Drosophila melanogaster: one gene and its partner. The protein of the gene in region 2 purifies or fractionates together with the protein of the main gene of each other region. This does not show direct contact. Each region holds a gene or a part of one and is shown on either strand. Other genes may lie near its edges.

What was found. Proteins that work in one complex are often made in the same cells at the same time.
Region 1: the proteins of CCT3 (region 2) and mtgo purify together in Drosophila melanogaster (affinity purification with western blotting, with the first as the bait; one study listed by BioGRID). This does not show direct contact.

Annotation. Positions count from the first base shown.
Region 1 is NT_033779.5:16,543,207-16,548,059, forward strand, and holds the start of mtgo (miles to go), read left to right. Parts: upstream 1-1,809; 5' UTR 1,810-2,232; intron 2,233-4,853.
Region 2 is NT_033777.3:16,645,612-16,650,546, forward strand, and holds CCT3 (chaperonin containing TCP1 subunit 3), read left to right. Parts: upstream 1-1,993; 5' UTR 1,994-2,284; coding exon 2,285-2,318; intron 2,319-2,376; coding exon 2,377-2,438; intron 2,439-2,523; coding exon 2,524-3,023; intron 3,024-3,089; coding exon 3,090-4,128; 3' UTR 4,129-4,367; downstream 4,368-4,935. Other genes in the region: CG10324 (uncharacterized protein), read right to left, coding at 1-335, 409-1,130, 1,180-1,316; Mettl4 (methyltransferase like 4), read right to left, coding at 4,435-4,935. UniProt on the Drosophila melanogaster protein: Molecular chaperone; assists the folding of proteins upon ATP hydrolysis. Known to play a role, in vitro, in the folding of actin and tubulin.

The DNA of each region.
Region 1 (4,853 bases), on a different chromosome or scaffold from region 2:
TTCCTATTCCATTTTTAAGGGAATATACAGTTATTAAAATAAAATATTTTCATACCCAACTTTACTTGGTTAGTCCAAATATTTGTATAGCCCTTTAAGGAGTTTATTATGTTGTAACTTGGATAGAATGGATTCCAGAATAGTTCCGGAAATGACTTGAAACTGTATTTCCGGCTTTCACATTTAATTTACATTTTAGCGTGGACACCTACCGCAATGGTTTGGTTATATGCTAACGCTTTCCTTAAGCTCTTGTAAAAGTTTTGTAAGTACTAGTGTTATACGGAGATTTTGTTAACAATTTCATTGAAGTATTTACATACGTAAGAATTTCAACAGAAATGTATCCTCCCAGTCGGGTTCATTTAAAAGGATTAACGGTATTTTGAAAAATAAATTATACAAAAAGATTTACAATCTATAACGTAGCTTAGAAAATGAATTTCAATTATCATTTTATTATATATTTTATAGAAATTGACTTGAATAATGTGGTGTCCATTGCAAAACGGATTAGCAGGACTAGACTTATATTACGAGTCATTTTTCGATTCTCCCACTTATGTATATTGTTCAATTGACCTTTGATAATACAAAATTGCCTAGATTTCAAATAATATTACGTATACTAAAATTTATATATGTATGAAGTTGTTAGCCAGTTTCTTTCTTTTTTTTTCCATGAAATATTGAAATCTTCCTTCCGTTTTGCTTTGAAGTTCAAGTTATTTATTATTTGTTGTATTCTGCAAACAGCTGTTTGCATTTCGGCCGGCGTCGCAAAAGCAACAATTTTCAACCGCGTAAAGCTTTTGGCCTCTTGAGCCATAATTTCATACAGGTTGCAGGCTTGGAAAAATAACTCAATCTGGACTCACCTACTCACTCTCACTCTCTCCCTCTCCCTCTTCCAACCTTTCCTTTATTCACTCACTCTCCCACGCGATTTTTGGAACAAAAACGACGGCAGAGGAAATGCAGCGCAGTCGACGCCAAAAGGGATATTTTATATTATATATTAAGCCCGTCCTTAAATATGAATTTCCCAATCCTATTCTTATTCAAATTATAAAATGTATATTTAGCTTTAAGTTTAAAATATTGTTAAGTCGTACTCGGCTTCATTACGTAAATATCTTATTCATATAATTTTTGTACACGTAGTGTCACATGATAGAGTAATCAAATAAATGCATTTGGTAATAAGCTGATCTTCTGGACATTCAAATAACTATGCTCAAAAACCTTGCTGGCCCTTGATTCACTTAATAACTCAATTTTAGGACTTTCAGTGGGTGGAAATTTCCCTGGCACCCACGCAAACGAACGGGTTAAAAGATAGTGAAAAAGAGAGAGCGCACGAAAGCAACAATTGCTTACTCTTATGCACAAAGAAAAAATACTAACAACTTCAATTTTTGCATTGAATTACATAGAATTCGATAGAAAAGCCCAGGTCAAATAAAAAATTAAAACAATAATTTAGATAACGACTTATTTGATGTTAGATATTAGATTTAATTCGGTTAATGGGTAAGTTAGAAGAAATAATGTAAATTTTTGCATTGCAATAATGAAGCAATGAAACAAGCTTTACGTTAACGTCACATGAACTACCGTTAGCGAGCGAACAGTGCAGAAAGCGCTCAAGAGCGCGGAGCATTCCAATGCGTTGGAGTAAGAGCGTGCAGAATTCGTGGGAGCAAATTGGCGCCCGAATCAGCCGCTTTTCGTAACTCACTCAATGCGAATTGTTTTCAAGCGCCGGAGAGAATCTATATAGAGGGGCTTCTCCGACTCGCTTCGAATATGTTTTTCGCAGCGCGCGCGTTCGCATCGGAAAATCAGAAAAGCTGGCAAGCGTTTAAAAACAAATTCGGCAGGTACAATTGTTACTTGTTTTCCCCTCAGTTGACTATTTCGTCGCAGGTTTTTGGCCAGCGGAAACCATCGTAATAACCGTTTATCGTTATTTTATTATATTCGCGTAAATCGTTGTTTGTTCAACCACAGAATACTTGTTGTTACGCATTTCGAAAATGGAAATGCGAAAATTTCCAAGCAGTGAAAATCAAAACGAATAAAATATATTGGCTGCTTTTCGTGTTTAGCGCGTACGTGTGTGTTTCTGTGTTAGTGAGTGCAGCAAGAAATAAAACCAAAAAGCAACAAATAAATAAATAGAAAACAAAAGCAAAATCAAATCCAAATTCAAAGGCAAATACTTGCAAAGTAAGTTGATAATATCAGAGTGTGGTGCTAGCATATGTTGCATTATTTTGCCCAGCAATTTACATGTTTTTCACATTTTCTTCTCTCACAAATGACAACTAACTAATATGGATGATATTAACGGTGTTTAGAGTTGGCTTTTCCATTGAGAAATATGAAAAAATGCGTTCAATATGTTAGCGTACACACACACACAAGCGGCGGCTAACTGTTGTTTGTGTGTATGTGGGTGAATTGGCAATAACGCGCACGTGTATTAGTGTGTGTTTGTTTTTGTTGCCTTTGCGGCCAAGTGGCAGCAAAACGTTGCAAGCAACAAAAACAATAACTACGATGGCAAAACAAGTGCAGTCAGCAAAACCAACTCAACCAGTGCCTCTCGCGCTCTCCCACTCTCTCTCTCTCTAATACCCAAGCCCACCTCCTGCTCCCACACTCACCCTTCTCCCTCGCACCCATTGACGCAACTGCATGGTCAGGGCTTCTTTTACTGTTACAAAGCTCATGCGTGGACCCAATAGCAAAATGAATGCACGATGTACTTAGTTCATTAATTCCGCCAAATCAGAAATTATAATTATAAATGTACGAGTTTAATGGATTAAAGTTAGGTGTACGTAATTTTTTTAATTGTATGACCACTTTGGTGAAGCATAACCGTGGTATGAAGCTATTACAATTTCATGAACTTGGCGGCATAAACTTTGCAATTTACTATCTATGGTCGTCTTTGGATTTTTGGCTTCGCGCTTTTTGCTCTTCGAAGTGCGCTGCTCTCTTTGCGCCAAACAAAGCTCGGCCGACACTTGTCGCGTCTTTTGGATATCTGGCCTCCTCCCACCGCCCACTGCCTCTTTACATATATCTTTTACATTTTTTGCTTTCATACACTGAATAAAATTATGGGTATATACCGTACTATCAAATGTTTCTGAGTAAAAATTAATTTAAATAAAAAATTTAATTATATAATTATAAAATTATTATATAATCACTTGTATTTAATGTTGTATGTGTTGCAAATCCATTAATACTTTTAAACTTCTAGGCTTAAAAACAAATGTCTGTGAAAAAAGTGGAATTCTTGGAAAGTGTATCTCTTTGGCTTTTCCACCTCGAGGCGTTTTCGCTTGAAGCTTTTGCGAGTTTGGTTCGATTTCCATTTGCGTTTAATTGCATTTATGCATTTTTAATCGAGTTTGACTTTGGTGAGCTTTTTACTTTGGCATATGCTAGATTGTCGCCCAGACACACGGGGTTTTTTTGGGTGAAAATGGGCTCTTGCTGATCCAAAAGATAAGTTTCAGTTTCGTCCTTCTTGGTAGTGAGATGTTTGGACAAAGTTTTCTAATTGGCCTTGACGCCGTTTTCAGAGTTTTAGTGCTACTAAAAGGCAAGAGTGCGAACTTTCTGCGTCTTTAATAAGATAATTTATTTGCAATTATAATTTGGTTCATTAAAGTTAATTGAATTAAGGGCAGGCGTTACATTCCAACCAAATGGAATGACAATGGGTGTGGGGTTAAAGATAAAAGGATTTTAGTTAGTGAGGAATATATTTTGTGATAATAACGGGTAATTAAATTTTTTTTTATTTTAAACTGAACCGCTATTAGGCAATTTTGGGCATTAAATAGTTAAAAGCTTTAGATACACAGTTTCAATGCGGTATACAAAACTTCATTAATTTTCGATTAATCTAGTATTTTTATACTATAATTTAAAAACCTTACGTCATTTATTGTTTTAAATCAAATTTTAAATTTAAATATTTTAAGATATTCCACTTCTCCAAAGAGGTTTTTTTCGAACAATTTTTAACTCACAGCCAACAGCTGTTGCATCCTAAGCAAACATTTGTATGTTTAACTTAGTCCTCTTGAAAGCTCAATTAAAGTCGCGTGTATAACCGCCCACTACCCAGGGATTCTCTAAACTTCTACACTCCGAACACACACGCCAAGTTTGCAACTTGGCATATGTTTATCTGCTAATCATGGAAATGCGATGCGGTGTTGCAAAATATTTATCTAGAAACGGTTGACTAAAAAAGAGGGAAATAAGCGAAACAGCTTTTCAGCCAAACTGCAAATGGGAAAGCAGCCCCCTTACCGGTTTCCCACTTTTCCGGCACGGCGACCATATGCCAAAAAGCTGAACCAAAAATCGCACACACATTTGGGGATAAAACGCGATGCGAAAAAAGCATAAGTAGGCTGCTGTGACATTTCGTTGTCTGGGTATACGCTCATCGCGAACAAGGATACAGGAGCATTAGGGTGGAGCAATTTGTTCGAAGCTAAATATAAAAAACTTCAATATTGATTAAACTTGTTCATGCATATAGGACTTAAACTAAGTAAAGATCTGAACTAAAATTAAGTGCTTTTTTTTTAATAGAAGAAATATTAAGATCAGCTATTTTTGCGGACTGTTGATTTCCTTTTAGCGCTTAAACCTTTATAAGAATATACTTGGCATTTCAAGACTTTCGTAAATTCAGAACTTGGCTTAGATTGACGCACCCTGATAAAAGCACACTTATAAAGGCACACATTTGTATATCCGCACATCGGCACACACAAATAATTCGCCGTGCTATGTATGCCAGTATGCCGAAA
Region 2 (4,935 bases):
CTTCTTTTCTCGATCCACCTCCTCTTTGTTAGATTTGGCTTCCTTGTACGATTTTCGCTCGTCTTTGTACGTCCTGCGATGTTCGTCTTTGTACGTTTTTTTGTCTTCATATTTGTAAGACCTTTTATCTTCTTCCTTGCATTTCATGCGATAGTCTTCTTTACTAGATCTCTGGTCCCCTGGCTTCGAACTCTTTTGATTTTGAGCTTCATCCCGGTCTGATCTAATTTCTTCCCTGCGGTCTCTGTCCCTTCTTCCTGACGGATTTTCCTGCTTCACAATAATCTGGCCATGCTCGTTTTCATTTTTTTTGAATTCTTCGTATTTGGCAGTGTCTGAAAGTAAATGTAAAAGAAATATAAAAATGTCACAAATATAAAGGATTTGCATTTTCCAGGCTCCACTTACTTATGCACTTGCCATACTGAGAGTACTCCTTGCGGGATACGGGCTGACAAAGGAACTCGTTGAACGCCTCTTTGGCCCCTCCAATTGCCATTTTGACAATTACTCGCCCTGCATGGTCATCAAAACCTTGGATTTGGCCATACTGATCCTTCTGCTTTCCGCCCAGAATGCGCACGTACGCCTGCTTCTTAATCTCCAGTACCTCGTTCTTCTCCGGCTGGACCAGTAGAGCTTTAGGTTTGAGCGCCTTATCTGCTCCCAGGCCCATGCCTTTGGGTCGCAGAAAGGGGGCATCATCGATGGGTCCTGAGCCCTTCTTTTTTGGCGGTGGATCAACCCAGCCCATGCCGCGCAGCATGGCTAGGCCAAATTGTTGTATCGGTATGTTGTCATAGTCATCTAGTGTTGCCTCCTTGGCACCATCGAGAGGCAGTTCGTCTGCGCTTAGGGCGGGCAGGACAAGTTTCTGGTCATCTAGGCCTTCGGCACCGTTATTTTGGATGGCAGATATCAATTCCCGAGCTGCTCTCTGTTCCAGACTCTCCGTTGGACCGCCTGCGGTGACCTCTGCTATAGACTGAGCCACTGGAGTCACCTCCTCTGGATCCGGTTCCTCCTCGCCCAGCAGAACTGCCCGCCTCCTCATCAGACTCGCCAAAGCGGACGAAGTCTTCTGCATGCCTATCATTTTGATGGTAAGAGGAGCAGCTTCCACCTTTTCGCTAAATATTACATATGAGTATAAAACTATTTCAAGATATTTTAACTTACTCGACTGGCATGATTTCGTTTCCTTCCAAGCATTTTATCAACTCCACCTTGCTTTCCTCTTTCGGCTGCTTGCTGGGCAGAATGTTTGGTTTCTTGGACAATTTACTAAAGCCAAAAGATATCTTCTTGGCCTCCATGTTGTCTAGTTAAAAAATTAATAACTATTAAAAACAAATTGAAGCCGAAATGTATCGTAAACAAACAGGCCACAGCTGACTCGCGGTTTGTTATCGATATCGATAATTTATTTAATTTATGAAACGCTTACACTACACTTTTAAAGTATTTGCAAAACTTATTTGTTTTTCCATTTATATATAAAAACTACCATGAAATCCATTTAATACGTTTTGAGCAGTTTTATTGAATACAGCACAGGATCTTCAAATATTAAAAAGTTCGACGCTGTTTATGTAACTCATCATTCCAAGTAATCACTTTTCCCCCGTTATATTCAGAATATCCTCCAACATTTTCTTTTTCGAAGGTGATACAATTTTCATAAATTATATTTTAACTTCTTTTGAGTTTAGTTGGTTAGGCTTTTTAGGCTTCAAAATTTCCACATTTTAATTATGATGTGATAGAAATATGCTATATAACATAAATTTAAAATCCATTCGTAATATAAATTAATTTCCAGTATCACTTACACCGTAGAAAATATTATTTATTGTTACAAGTTTAATGTTTTGATTTCGCTTAAACCTCAGGGTGGAAAATTTAAAACCAAGTTAGGCGCCTTCAAAAAATCGCAGTTATGACGAATGTAATTCTGTGACATCGATAACAAAAGCTGCATAGTGTAAGTATACTGTTTCTCGATATCGATTCTTAAGAGAGCTGCTGCTTCGAATTGTGGAGAATTTGAATTAAACTTATAAGCGATCGCAAAAGTCAGTTAGCAGTAAGTGAGGAAAGAAAAGAAACTAGAAGAAGGAACTGGCAGAAGTAACTAACAAGCCGGTCCGCTCAATATCCTATCGAACCTTCTCGAATAATGTGTCATCGGCGGTTCTAACCTCACTCATTCTCTTTCAAACAGCGGCAGCGCCAGCACGAGTTCAATTGTTTTCACGCAGAAATAAATTAAACAGCCAGAAAGATGTTCGGTGGACAGCAGCCAATACTCGTGTTGAGTGAGTATGAAATTTGCACGTCGTAGAGCCCAATTGCAATCGAATTACCCGCCGACAGGTCAAAACACAAAGAGAGAATCGGGCCGCAAAGTGCAGTTGGAGAACATCCAAGCCGGAAAGGTATGCGTGACTCACATGTCTGGGTCTTGGGTTTTTGTGTTCTCGCGTTTTCCGACCATCTGTTGATTAAAACGTCTTTTTCCAGGCCATCGCCGATGTGATACGCACATGTCTGGGGCCACAGGCCATGCTGAAGATGCTGATGGACCCAATGGGCGGCATCGTGATGACCAACGATGGCAACGCCATCCTGCGTGAGATCACTGTGCAGCACCCGGCGGCCAAGAGCATGATTGAAATTGCTCGCACACAAGACGAGGAGGTTGGCGATGGTACCACATCGGTCATCGTCCTGGCCGGCGAGATGCTGGCCGCCGCCGAGCCCTTCCTCCAGCAACAGATCCACCCCACTGTTATCATTCGCGCCTATCGCGAGGCCCTCGAGGACATCGTCGGCCACCTGCAGTCCCAGCTTAGCATCCAGTTGGACGTCAAGGATAAGGCCAAGATGGCCGATGTGGTCAAGGCCTGTGTGGGCACCAAGTTCATTGGCAAGTGGTCCGACCTTGCCGTCAAGATTGCCCTGGACGCAGTCGAGACAGTGACGCTAAGTGAGAACGGCCGTCTGGAGGTAGACATTAAACGGTAAGAACGAAATTTGTTATGCATATTATTTTTGAATAAATAATTTTAACTTTGTTACTTTCACAGCTATGCCAAGGTGGAGAAGATCCCGGGTGGCGCCATCGAGGAGTCGTGTGTTCTTAAGGGCGTGATGATCAACAAAGACGTGACGCATCCCAAGATGCGACGCCTCATCGAGAATCCCCGCATCGTGCTGCTTGACTGCTCGCTGGAGTACAAGAAGGGCGAGAGCCAAACCAACGTGGAGATAATCGGGGAGCAAGACTTCACCCGCATGCTGCAGATCGAGGAGGAGTTTGTGCAGCGCATCTGCGCCGACATCATTGCCGTGAAACCGGATTTGGTATTCACTGAGAAGGGTGTCTCCGATCTCGCCCAGCACTATTTGCTGAAGGCTGGCATCACGGCCATCCGTCGGCTGCGTAAGACTGACAATCTGCGCATCGCCCGCGCCTGTGGTGCCACCATCGTGAACCGCACTGAGGAGCTAACCGAGAAGGATGTGGGCACGGGAGCTGGACTGTTCGAAGTCAAAAAGATCGGCGATGAGTACTTCACTTTCGTGACGGAGTGCAAGGAGCCCAAGGCCTGCACCATCCTGCTGCGCGGTGCCAGCAAGGACATCTTGAACGAAACGGAGCGCAACCTGCAGGACGCCCTGCACGTGGCCCGCAACTTGGTGCTGGAGCCACGCCTGGTGGCTGGCGGCGGAGCCGTTGAGATGGCTGCCTCCCAGCTGCTCACGCGCAAGCAGGTTAAGGGACCATACACGGCGGTGGCCCACGCCCTAGAGATCATACCGCGCACACTGGCTCAGAATTGCGGCGCCAACACGATCCGTGCTCTGACTGCTCTCCGCGCCAAGCACGCCTCCCACACCGGCGATGGTGTCTGCGCCTGGGGCATCGACGGCGAGTCCGGCGAAATCGTGGACATGAACGTGAAGAACATCTGGGAGCCGCTGGCCGTCAAGCTTCAGACCTACAAGACCGCCGTGGAGACGGCCATCCTGCTGCTGCGCATCGATGATATCGTCTCTGGATCAAAGAAACGCGGCGGCAACGAGCCCACCAATCCGGCGGCCATGGCCCAGGGTCAGGAGTAGTAGCCTGCGATTAACCACGTGTATTAATAATGCTTACTATCCTTTAATACTTAATTTAACACTCAAAAGAAAAAACAAAACAAAATCCCACACACGCCACCCCAAATGTTTAACATTTAGCTTCAGCCAGGCATCGTTGGCTTCTCTGGAAGAAGGAAACCCATCCGCCGGCCGCCTACACACAAAATTCAAATGCATTTGCTCTCATTAACAGTACACAAATAAAATTGTTAAAACTCATAGCTGCTTATAAATCCCTTATTTAATGAGGTACTTGTAAAAATTAAATACAATAATTAGGCGTAGCTAATTTACCTCCTCCTGGTTGCAATGTTCTACTTTACGGACTTCATATAGCCTTTCGTCCATCAGTTTGAGCACTTCTAAGCCAATTGAAGTGAAGTGGGGATGCAGATATCGGGCAAACAGCTCCAGGCAGTTTGGTTCCAGCTGGTCCTTATCCAACAGGAGGTGCTCCCTCAGCCAAGACAGCAGTGGTGGCTTGTGGGAATGCACAATGCTGGGCACGCTGAAGATCAGCTCGGTCTGTTGGATATCTTTTCCATAGTTTTCAGAAGCATCGGAGCGACAGGCCACGTAGAGCATCTCGTAAGGCTGCTTCTGGGTGAGATCCGACTGCGGGGGAGCAATTAGTTCATGGTCTGTGCTAAGTTTGTACCATCGGAGCTTGTGGAGCAACCGGAGATTCCAACTGGGCAGCAGCTGCTGCTCCAGGGCCAACTGATGCAGCGTCGAATTGGTGCACCAGATGGCCACCAGTGACCGTGGGTGCGTAAGCTTCGAGAG